Linked DNA regions of Mus musculus. The protein of the gene in region 2 interacts with the protein of the main gene of each other region in a pairwise test. Links are inferred from orthologs where the notes say so. Each region holds a gene or a part of one and is shown on either strand. Other genes may lie near its edges.

Region 1 (3,650 bases), on a different chromosome or scaffold from region 2:
TGGAGATTCCTCCAGTGATGAGTACACAAAGCCCTACAAACGTCCCAGATGAACTCTGGGGTTAGATGGTGGAGATGGTCCAGGACAAGAAATCCAGTTATTCAAATCTATACATGTGTGAAATAAGGAAGAAAGCACTGTTCATGTGGCTTTACAGCTGAATGAACTCAACAGAAGTTAATGTCCGAAGCCATAAGTGATAATTTAGAATTCTGGTGATGCAGGGGCAACTTCTAAACCATCTCAGCCATGCCCTGAATGAATCATCAATTCTAATTTATGTATTTTTCTATGAAAATTTCAAGATCACTTCTATGTATTGACAACTTTATAACTTCAGAAACTCAATTCTGAATGTAATTTATTCATAATGCAGGTCATATGCTCTATATTAAAACAGTAGTTTGTAATATGTTGGATTTATATGTGGGTTATCAGAGTCATTATCTCTGCACTTACTGGCAATACTTTAAAATCCATTAAAAATAGTTCTGGTTCAATCAATCTATAAGGATAAAGAAATGAATTCCATTTCCATGTTGTCTGTATGATAAATCACTAAGATAAGTGGCCCCTGTGTGTTCTTATCACACAGAGGAACCAGATGGTATCATGTCACATGATATGTCTTTCAACACATCAGTGCTATGCCTCGATGGTAAAATTAAATGAAAACCCAGAGAAAAGCAGCTTACATCCATCTCCAAGAGGTTGAACATGCTCGACTCGGCGATTTCTTTAGACTCATCGAATTTCTCCAGAGCTTGGCGGAGTTCTTCATCTGGAATCTTGCCTTGTCGCTTCTTCTTATAATCAAAGTCTAAGCGTCGGCCTTCCAGCTTTTTCAGATGATGCTGAAAGAGCCAAGGGCAGGAACATGCTTCCAAAGGACATATTATGGAAAAGACCTTCTTGTACCTCATTTTTCTTACATTCCTAGTAGCTTCCAAAATGTGACTGGCTGAGTTTGAAATTGCATGTCACCAGAGAAATGAAGACACATGTACCAGCAACGCAAATGCTTCTAGTGGCTAACTGTAGAGGGACACCTTGACAAATAATTCAGAATGAGAAACAAGTCACTGAAAGACCAATGTCCTTTTGCTAAGCATTCCCAGGCCAAAGCCAAGTTGAACTATATCTCTTCTCCAAATGACAAGAAGGGCATGTGGATAGGCATCACCCATACCTTCCACCTCAAGAAAATGCTACACACAAGAGCCTGCCAGTCACCTTCCTCGTGAGAAATGGGAAAGCCCTCTTTTCTGAGGTAAAGGTAGAAAAAAATGAAATTCCTTTTTTATTAATCTAGTTTACCAGAGTCACCTAGTATGTTAGGTAAGAATATCTGATCACCTAAGTCAGAAAAGCCAGGCTGAGCCTAGTGATCTGCATCACAACACCTGCCCCATTTGACAGAGGTAGCTTTTAGGGGACAGATGAGTTTACCTCTCCAAGGACAGGTGACACAACTCAGTCACAAACCCAAACTGCAAGGGACCTTGGAGGATCTTCTATCAGCACTACCTCCCCTAACACACACACACACACACACACACACACACACACACACCTGTAGCTTTAATCCCTCACTGTAGTATCTCCATATGGTAAGGTTCATAACCTCTCTAAAGATGAGGATAAGTAGTTTTGTTCTGTTTTGTTTTCCTGAAGATCAACAGTAGTTTCCTTTCTTAATAGCTGTAGCATTCTACGACTAACTGGTGGGAGAAAAAAGTGATTTTTTCCTCTGTTCCTTAGTGTGTATGGACGAGGGAGGAAGAAGAGAAGATAGAAACAGAGTCAGGGGTGGTAGAGAACTGGCAAGATAAAGGATGGGTTTTGTTCTACACCCTGCTCCTCTCACCGCATCTCCCACCCCCAACTAACACTCTAATCCCAACTAAGTGTGCTTTCTTTTGGCAAGGGGGTGCTGTAGAAGCATTTGAACTCACGGCCACTCAGAGGCAACACCAGCTTAATTTATCAGAGATATCTCAGCTTTTCTGTATGTTTCACAAAGCGTGGTTATTCCTTCTAAACACCAACAACAATAAGGAAAATATAAAAATCGAAGAGTAATATAGTAGCTACTTATTTAAACTGATAGAAGTACAACTAATATTTGGGGACCCCATCAGCCTCATCCATCATTAACAGAGTTTAAAGTCCCGGATAAAGGACATCCCTTTGGCTGGGTGGCAGTGATGCAAGCCCTTAATCCCAGCACTACTGAGGCAGAGGCAGGTGGATTTCTGTGAGTGTGAGGCCAGCATGATCTATAGAGCAAATTCTAGGACAACCAGGGCTACATTTAAAAAAAAATTAAGGGGCTTTTTTTTAAGAAAAAAAAAATGGTGGGAAGATTGTTTAACAAGGAAGTTGAAGACAGAGGAACCAATGCTCTGCTCAGGAGCTGCAGGGCTGCAGCTGTGATCCTGGATTGATGGCCCTTGGTCTCCAGTGCCTTTCATCTTATGGAGCTGTAGGAAATTCACGTGCCCTCTTCTGTGTATCCCAGGGAGACTGTCTGGGAAATGAGAATCTGCGTGTGTGTGAGAAGAAGGATCGCACAGACCTGAATCTCCCTCAGATCCTTGTCATGAAGATTCTGAAGGGGGTCGATGAAATTCTGCTTCACTTCCATGTCCAATGAGTCCTTGACCTCCGAGAGCTCCCTCATGGCTTCTCCCACCTCACCGAGAGCAGGACCTGAGAGGGGAAAATGAAGATCTCACACCCTGAAGAATAAAGACAAGCACTCTTTGCAACAACAGCCTTCAAGATGGCTGTGTAGGGATTGCCTCTGTCCTATAACAGCAACAGAGTCTAAGAAAGCCCATAGTGTTCTCAAGACAAAAGAAGTTTTTCTATTTACCACAGTCATTCTGAAAACCAGGCTCCATGGACCCTTTAAAAGGAGGAGTATCCCTCCTTACCAGGAACTGGATATTTTACTCTGAATACTATTTTGCAAGGCTCTCTGTTCTCTGTGATAGGCACTAGTTCTCATTAATATGAGATCAGTTGCAGCTCAATGCTTTTAGCAGAAGCAGATACTAAAAACTGAGGAAAAAGGGACTAGAGAGGTCCCATGTCAATAGGAGTGAAGGCAGAAGGTGCTTGAAGGCAGAAGGTGCTTAGGGTCCTGAGAGCCAGGCAAGAGAGGAGATAGAATAAATTCTATTTTGCCTGGAGCAACAGAATCAGGGATCCCAAACAAATGAGCAGTGGATTAATCCTAGAGAGCCCAGGTGCCAGTGTAGGAATTCACGCTGATTGTGACTGCTCGATCTGCTTTAATACGCAGCTCCTGCCAGATACACCCAGGAAAGTGCCAAGGCATCTGGGCATGTCTGCCGGAACTGTTGTCAAGGCTGGGGTCCCATTAGAGGAAAAGGACAAAAGCTGCGTAGACAAATCACTTTAAACACTGGCAGTCCTAAAATCACATTTCATCCCCCATATATAACATCTACAAGTGAGAATTAAAATATAAGCAGGCTGACTGATGATCTCGAGTTTGCTGTTGTTAGTGGGTTTTGCTTTGTTGTTTTGTTTTGTTTTTTAATCAGCACCACAACCTCCTTGGAGACCTGCAGTATGGCCAAGGCTACTTACCAAAGTTGCAATCATCACCCAGCTCCCTG
Region 2 (3,650 bases):
TTTTGGCTTCCGTGTGTCCATACAGTACAAGTACAAACACGCTAGCAAAATGTTCATATATAGAAAAAAAATACAGATATTTATATGTGTATGAGTGTTTTGCCTGCATGTATATTGATACATGTGTGTATGCCTGGTATGCATGGAGTCCAGAAGAGGGCACTGGATTCCCTGGGACTGGAGTTAGTTACAGATAAGTCGTGAGGCACCACGTGAGAGCTGGATATCAAGCCTGGGTCCTCTGCAAGAGCAGCATGCACTCTTAACCAATGATCCAATTCTCCAGCCTCAAAATGCATCTTTAAAAAGAAGGCCGAGTGTAGTGGGCACACCTTTAGTGCCAGCACTTGGGGGGGCAGGAAGATTTATAGGAATTCCACAAAAGTCTGGTCTATAAAGTAAGTTCCAAGCTAGTCAAGGCTACAAGGTAAGAGAGAGAGAGACTCTGTGTGGGGGTAGGGTAGGGTGGAGTGTGGGTGGTAAAGGTGTAGGTGACTGGGATGGGGATGGACATTTATTGGGTTGGCAAGATGGCTCATCAGGTAAAGGTATTTGTGGCCAAATCTGATGACCTGAGGTTGATCCTAGAACCCACCAGGAGGAACTCCTACAGTGTTCTTTTAACCTCCATGTATACTGAGTGCACACATGCACATACCCACACACCACATACAAAGTTTATTTATATTTTTTTCTCTCACATGATTACTATGTGATCACTTGAATACTCACGTTGGCCATCACAAGTGAACACATACCCTGTGAATTCAAGCTGAAGCCAACTATTCATTGCACACAGGTGCTAAACTCATGCAGCATGCAGACACAAGCAAACACAGGCAGGGTTATTCTCACCTTTACCTGCTCTATATGTCTTGGCTTGGTTCACAGGCATGGGCGTCATAGGTATTGGGTATAAAGGCTTGAGGGAATTGAAAACACATCATTAGATTCATATGGTAACAATATATTCATTCTATCACTGTCTTTTAATGTGATCTGGCCAGTGTTTTCTTGATTCCCTGTGAGCTATTCAAATTAATACCCACAACTAAAAGGAACAACTCTGGCCTATAGTAAATGTAAGTCATTTTTTTCTGAAAATTAATCCTAAAACTTAGATCCACATGCTAATGATACAATACACCACCCCTACCCACTGCCCACTCTTAACACTACTTGCTATCAGGTGTCCCACTTAGTGCCCACCTAGGACACTTGTGCTAAATGCAAGCTATGGTGTCCAGCAAATTGTAACCCATGGAACTTACTTGTACGCCCGGGCTCACTGGGACGGGATACATCATATTGGGTGCGAAGCACACAGGCTGAGTGTACACTGGAGCTGGCTGCTGATGACCCACCATAGATGGGCTGGGTTGTGCTTGAGGCCGAGGTGACGTTGGGGTAGTAGAAGGCTTTGGCTACAAAACAACAACAACAACAAAAACAGAATTCAACATCAACTCTGTCAAGATGAAAAGCATCTATGAAAACAATATTCAAAGCAGCTTCCCTGATTGTTCTGCCTATTTGTTTTTAACTAGCATTTTTTTATTCTAAAGATAAAGCAAAGCAAAACAAACAAACAAACAAACAGGCAAACAAAACATCCAGAGGCTAGCATGTAAGAAGTTGATTCAGTTTCCAGGGGTTAAAAAAGGGAAAACTTAGGCTGCAGACATTTCTCAGTGTTAGAGGGCTGGCATAAACACAGATTTGGTATCAACACTGTATCATATCTAATCAAGCTAAAATATTTATCAATGAAAAAAAGATATAAAAATTGTAATAATTTTACAAGGAACCAGAAAAGGTCTATCCATTTTTTTCTTTTCATTTTTGTGTTTTGGGGTGGGGATCTCACTATGTGGCCCAAACTGACCACAAAATCATGACCCTTTTGCCCCGGTCTCCTGTTTGCTAAGAATACAGGCATGTTCTCCTATGCCTTCCCGAGGAAATGGACTCTCTTGTGTAGTTAGTGAGTGGGCTTCTTTGGCCTGACAGCCTCAGTCGTTGTGAGCTTACACTGAGCTGTCCCTCACAGCGGCACAGCAGGACTGACAAGCTTGGGGACATCCCACAAGCCTGGAGGCCAGGCTGTCTCAGGGTCCTACAACTGGGCTCAGTCAGATGGGAGCTCAGGAGAAAGCCATGAAGAGCGCAGTGACGTCTCTTCAGACCAGCTGTAAAAGGCTAGCGCTTACCTGAGAGAAAGAACGAGGGTTGAACTCCTTTGCATTGGGATTCAATGTCGATTTCCTAACCTGCCTAAGAAAGAAAGAAAACAACAAGCAGGCCAGTGAAACATCATGGGGCTGCGGCTTTCTCAACTGCGCCACACTCGTCAGCTTTCAGAGGATTGCTGACATAGAGCAGATGTGAGTAACTCTCCATGTCTCAGTCTCCTTTACTGAAACACACACCTCTGCTGCTTAATCTGATGAAGAAACTAACCATACGAGAACAAATGAAAACCAAAGAAACCACATCCCTCAAAAGCAATCACCGAATATTTCAACTGGTAAGTCGCAGCCCCTTAAAAGGGTGCCTAATGAGGTTAAGTGACAGCTAAACAGCTGCCACTCCATAGGACTGGGTTTATTAATCCATCTATCTATAACTACAGTTTCAGGCATCTGACACCCTCTTTTGGCCTCTGAAGGTACAGCAAGTGTGTGGTGTACAGACAGACAGGCAGATAAAACACCAATGCTTAATGAGTTCACAGTAGTTCTAATTTTTTTTTTTTTTTAAAGATTAGGCCTTGCAATGGATCCAGGCTGGCCTCAAACTTAGGATCAACAGCCTCAGATGCCCAAGTGCTGTGTTAACAAAGCCCTTCCACCACCTGTAGCATACGCAGCAATTTTAAATGTGTCAAAATGTTTTAATCACATGCCTTGGGTTTACCATTGCTCTAGTAAAATTATTTTTCTGCAAATCAAGAATAAATAGTTCAAGTACAATTAGTTTTTTTTTTTGTTATCCAGAACACAAAAAGGGAGTGGTGATTATGTCTGAGGCTAACCCACTAGTTTATCTATTTAAGTGCTTTTAAATGCCAGATGCACAGAAATAAGGTTTATAAAGATGTGCTTATCAACTAAACATTTCCTCAACTGGGGCAGCAAATAGTCCTTGCAGACTGCAGGGTTAGGCAGAACCAGAACCCCGAGACAGGGCATTCAAATTTAAACTCTTATCTCCATAGAAGTAGCTTTTCTTACCCCCACAGCTGCAAACAAGTCAGAATGGGAAGAATGCTAAGAACCCAATGACTAGATTCAGCTCAGATTTCTAACCCCAGCTCTATGTAACAGTTACTATGGAACAGAAAACCCCTTAAAGCAGGTTACTCGGAGAGAGCATGTGCTGAGACCCAGGTTACTCACTCTGTTGTGTCTTTCTTCTCTTCTCTGTCATCCTTCTCTTGTTTGCAGGCTGGGCTGGAAGTCTGCACCCCTTGGGATGTGACCTCAGGCCCCCTCTTGTGCTCTGCATTACTAAGCATGGAAGGGGAGATGCTAGGGCTGTTGGTCTTGCTGCTGCCACTGGTACAGTTGCTGCTGCTGCTGCTGCTGTCAATGAAACTATCCTTAGCACTTGCTTCCGTTTTATCTTTAATCAAATCTCGTGACTTTTCT
Region 3 (4,248 bases), on a different chromosome or scaffold from region 2:
TTGTCTGTTTACTCCATAAGTTTAGTTTACTCCATAAAATAAAGGGTGCCCTGGATACGATATAGTGACACTGGTTTTCCAGAGAAACAGAAAGTAGGAATGGAAATCCCATGTTAACTATGGGACTGACTTTAAAGAAGAGGCCATGAGAGGGACCTCACTAGACACGTAAGGACACATCTGTAGGTACTGACTGTAGCATGAGTCAGGTACTCTCTTAAAACTTAAAAAAAATGCAAATTATTTTTTCTTTAACTGCAGAAAAATTAAGCCACACTGGCCTGAATTTCAAAAGTGTCTCAGGCAGCAATTCAAAAAGGAACATCTTTGGCCACAGAACTGTTGGCTGTTGAGTTTAGAAAGACTGTGAAATTGTGAACAGCATCTCAAGCAGCTCGCCAGTGGCCCTTGCACATAACCATTCATGCTGTTCCCAACTATGCAGGCACAAGGGATCCTAGCAAAGATGAGTCCATAGTCCTCTTCATTTTCTTGTCTTGCTGGAATCACTAAGTTGCTAAAGAAATCTGAATCCTGGCAAAAGGGCCTTTATTCCTGACTCGGGGTGAAACTCCTCAAGCTAAGGGCCAAGGTAGCTAGGGCAGGAAGTGCAAGCTGAAAGGTAAAGAGGCACTAGAATTTCCTACCTATTCTATCATACCACATCCTTTCCTTAAGAACAAAACTGCAATGGGAGGGGGTTTAGTTTCTTTGAGCCTCCACAAAGCAGCAAGAAGGCTAGCACCTTCATGTGCACAGCCTTGCAGTGTGCTCTGTGTGGAGGAGAGGGGAAGGGTGCAGTGGGTCCCAGTAGCTCATCGGAGGCTCCTCACTGACACACACAGAAGGACTTGTAGGTCACTAGTTCAGAAGTTTCCTTTTGGGAAACAAATGAGAATGGATCAGGTTAACATTTGCAAGTAAAATAACTTGCTCCATTCCACACTAACCAGTTATGTTTCTTGAACATTTTGCCAAAGAGGAAGAAATAGTGCCTTCCCAGCTTTGCAGTTGGTTCTAGCGTCTTCTCATCTATCATTGGGGTAATACGTTCAGAGTGGCATTTTGTAATGACAGAAACATCCCAGCAAATCGATAGTTATTTAATTCCCAACAAGCTCTCGAGTCCATTAAACCTGATTACATTCACCCATTTCTGTGGGTGCCGTTATTCTCCTGCACCAGCACTTAATCTATAACAGGAACTTATGAGAACTTTCAAAAGCAATTTCAGCATCAATCAGCACGGACTGAAATGAGCGATTTGCTTGTAATTATTTATCGGATAGGGCAGCACAGGGGCCGACAAAACTCCAGCCTTTGACCTTCACCCCAAATTTCCAACAGAAGCCAAAAGCACTGTTACTCTGCTTCACCTTCAAGTCCTAAGTTTCATGTCACCATCTGGCCACAAGTTCCCTTCCTTGGTGCCAGGGCCATTCTCTGCTGGTCTATTTACCTATAACATAGAAGTGTAGCAATAGTATCCATACATCTAGGGTAATTGGCAGTTCTGATGCTATCGGGATTGACGTCTGGGTGCATTCTGCCACCCAGCTTCTGACAGTTAATAGAAGGTCACAGTCACAGTCACAGTCAAAGAATAAAAAGAATATTTGTTCAATCCTCCACAGAAGTCGTCATTAATGAATTAGAGTTTTGTAGAACTCTCAGAGAGGGCTGGGTGGGAGTGGGGCTACAGGAAAAAAAGCTAAAGTGTTGTACTGCATATATTTAATTTTCCTTTCCCATAGAAAGGAGATTTAGGATTTATTACTTAGGGTTGCTTATTTCTAAAGAACAGCAACAAATAGCCACTTGCTTCCTACAATGACCCACTTCTATCACAAGTGGATGTTGGCTTCCCAGAGAACTGCAGGCGTACACCCAGAAGCAGTGGGTTTGAGTGACAGCAAGGAGGTACAATAAGGCAAAGAAACAGGTCCAATTTCTCGCTAGCACACAAACCTCTCGGTACACAGAATAATAGCCTTAGCAGTCAAAACAACAGGCATCCTAACTTCTCCCCAGCTGCCGAGAATACAAACAGTTGGCATCGAATTTGCAGAATAACCTCTGAACTTCCTAGCGAGACCATTCTCAGTGTACCCTCTTGTTTGTGGGTCGCCTCTCAGATTTGCAAGGGGAAGCTTCTCTGCAAACAACAACCTGTGTGGGGTGTCCTCAGCAGCACTCTGTATTTCCTGCCCTTCTGTTTCCGGGGTTAAAGCCTTTAAGCAAGCCATATCATGATAAGTTACTGAGCCTCATGATCTGCTCTGGGAGACCCAGTCCCTCAGAAAGCTAGGGAAGAGAGCAAATCTTTTGCCCCCTGGTCAACCTCCCGAAGCAAAGGCATGAATGTTAAACAGCACCCAGATCAATACAAGCAAATACAGCTCAACTACACCATTTATTCATCCATGAGAGATGTCAATAGCCAGATTAAGGTGATCCATCTTTTTGATTTCCTACTGTCTTTCCTTTGACTACACGAGGGCTTTTTTTTCTCTTCCTGTATTAAAAGTGTTTGCTTTCTCAACCATAAAAATTCCAATTATTACTTAGAGCATTCTGGAGTTAAGTTGCTTGCTGGCAAAAGCCATGAATTACCTGCATCAGTCCCGGGAAGTAGGGGGCAGCAGGCACAATCATGGGCACGCCATAAGAATGCAGAAGGACTCCTTGCGACGCCAACATGCTTTAAATGGAGGCTTTATTCCCTCCAAGGCTGAACACATCAATAGAGAGTTAGAGGGGGAAAGAAATCTATAGACCCAACTTCTTCTCAACTACAAAGCCGAGAGCCAAATCACTTCTGTCAGGAGCCAAGTGCTCATCCACAGGCAGCGGAGAGGGAAAGGAAACAAAACCCTGCATCAGCAACTCTTAATGTGAAAGTTTTCTTCCCAGACAAGGAAGGGACGCGGCAGCTGCAGGGTCGGTCGGAGCTACCAAAATGGAAGGAGCTATTTTGGGAGCAGCTCGCCCAACATGACTAACCAAATACTCTTCATTAATTTAGTTCTCAGACCAAGGGAGATGGAGTGACAGGGAATCAGGCGAAAAGAGAAGGCATTTGTCCTGAGGAACTGGGCCAAATTGCAAGGGGCTGGGTCTGCATGAGATTTTTAGAGAGAATAAGTAATAGAAATGTGTAAGCTTACATGACAATCAGTTGCAACTTAAAGAACTTAAACATTTACCCACATAAAAATCATCACCAGAGCCTAGACTTCAGTTCTAAATTGCAACTGGTTGTTATGTGAGTTTGTATACTACCATATAAGCCTGAGGACTGGAATTTGGATCTCCAGTGCCTATGTAAGAAATCAGGCAATGTGTCACACATTCCTAGCACTGGGAAAACAGAGACAGGAGAATGCAGGGTCTCAACTGTCGAGCCAGCATAGCCAAACAGAAACTTCCATGTACAGTGGTTTAGTGGAAGACCCTCTCTCAAAGCGTAAGTAAAAAGCAATAAAGAAAGATACCTGGAGGTCACCCTTTGAACACAGCACATACATTTTCACACCTATACCCATTCCGCCACAGTTATGAACAAAACCAAAAACAACCAAACAAATAAGAACAACAACAACCATAACAACAACACTCAAATCTAGCAGGTTCATGTGGGTAGCTGATCAAAAATTATCTAAGAATACTCAGTATGTGGTGGATAGCCTCTATAATCCTAGAACTCAGAAAGTTGGTATAGAAAAATTGGGAGCTCAGCTGTATAGCAAACTTAAGGCCAGCCTGAGCTACATGAAACTGTCTCAAAACAGTGGGCTCACTTTCCACCCCTTCTTCACCCAATTTCAGTTTGAAAAGGCAATTCATGAGTAACAAAATAATAGCTGAAATCTGAGTAAATTAGCTTTGTGGGTTATTGAGCTCCATTCTTCCACATCTCGGATGCAGGGGCTAATTCCCAGACCCAGGAAGCAAAGTGGTACCCAACAGGAATCCAGACTCACACTAGGCAGCCACTTTGCAGCTAGTAGGAAGCAGTGTTGAGTTTAAACCGCCCCCCCACACACACACAATCACTAGGTAAGTTGTCTAGCTGGCATTGCACTGTGAGATGTGATCTAGAAATGTGCCACAGAGTAGGTGCAGACTTGCTGGTGCTGTGTTTCATCTGTGAAGGGATTTTATATAGCTGGTATGTGTATCTTCCAGCTGTGATACATGAATTTGCAATATACTAAACAAAGGTGACACCCCACTCCCCCTTCCCCC

The links.
Region 1: the proteins of Atxn2 (region 2) and Sh3gl2 interact in binary tests that used the Homo sapiens proteins (3 or more experiments, as listed by UniProt). The link is inferred for Mus musculus from reciprocal best matches to the Homo sapiens genes ATXN2 and SH3GL2.
Region 3: the proteins of Atxn2 (region 2) and Rbfox1 interact in binary tests that used the Homo sapiens proteins (3 or more experiments, as listed by UniProt). The link is inferred for Mus musculus from reciprocal best matches to the Homo sapiens genes ATXN2 and RBFOX1.

Annotation. Positions count from the first base shown.
Region 1 is NC_000070.6:85,376,456-85,380,105, reverse strand, and holds part of Sh3gl2 (endophilin-A1), read right to left. Parts: coding exon 3,622-3,650; intron 2,713-3,621; coding exon 2,579-2,712; intron 855-2,578; coding exon 696-854; intron 1-695. UniProt on the Homo sapiens protein: Implicated in synaptic vesicle endocytosis. May recruit other proteins to membranes with high curvature. Required for BDNF-dependent dendrite outgrowth.
Region 2 is NC_000071.6:121,794,997-121,798,646, reverse strand, and holds part of Atxn2 (ataxin-2), read right to left. Parts: coding exon 3,399-3,650; intron 2,275-3,398; coding exon 2,211-2,274; intron 1,425-2,210; coding exon 1,272-1,424; intron 923-1,271; coding exon 856-922; intron 1-855. UniProt on the Homo sapiens protein: Involved in EGFR trafficking, acting as negative regulator of endocytic EGFR internalization at the plasma membrane.
Region 3 is NC_000082.6:7,068,451-7,072,698, reverse strand, and holds the start of Rbfox1 (RNA binding protein fox-1 homolog 1), read right to left. Parts: upstream 2,865-4,248; 5' UTR 2,701-2,864; coding exon 2,614-2,700; intron 1-2,613. UniProt on the Homo sapiens protein: RNA-binding protein that regulates alternative splicing events by binding to 5'-UGCAUGU-3' elements. Regulates alternative splicing of tissue-specific exons and of differentially spliced exons during erythropoiesis.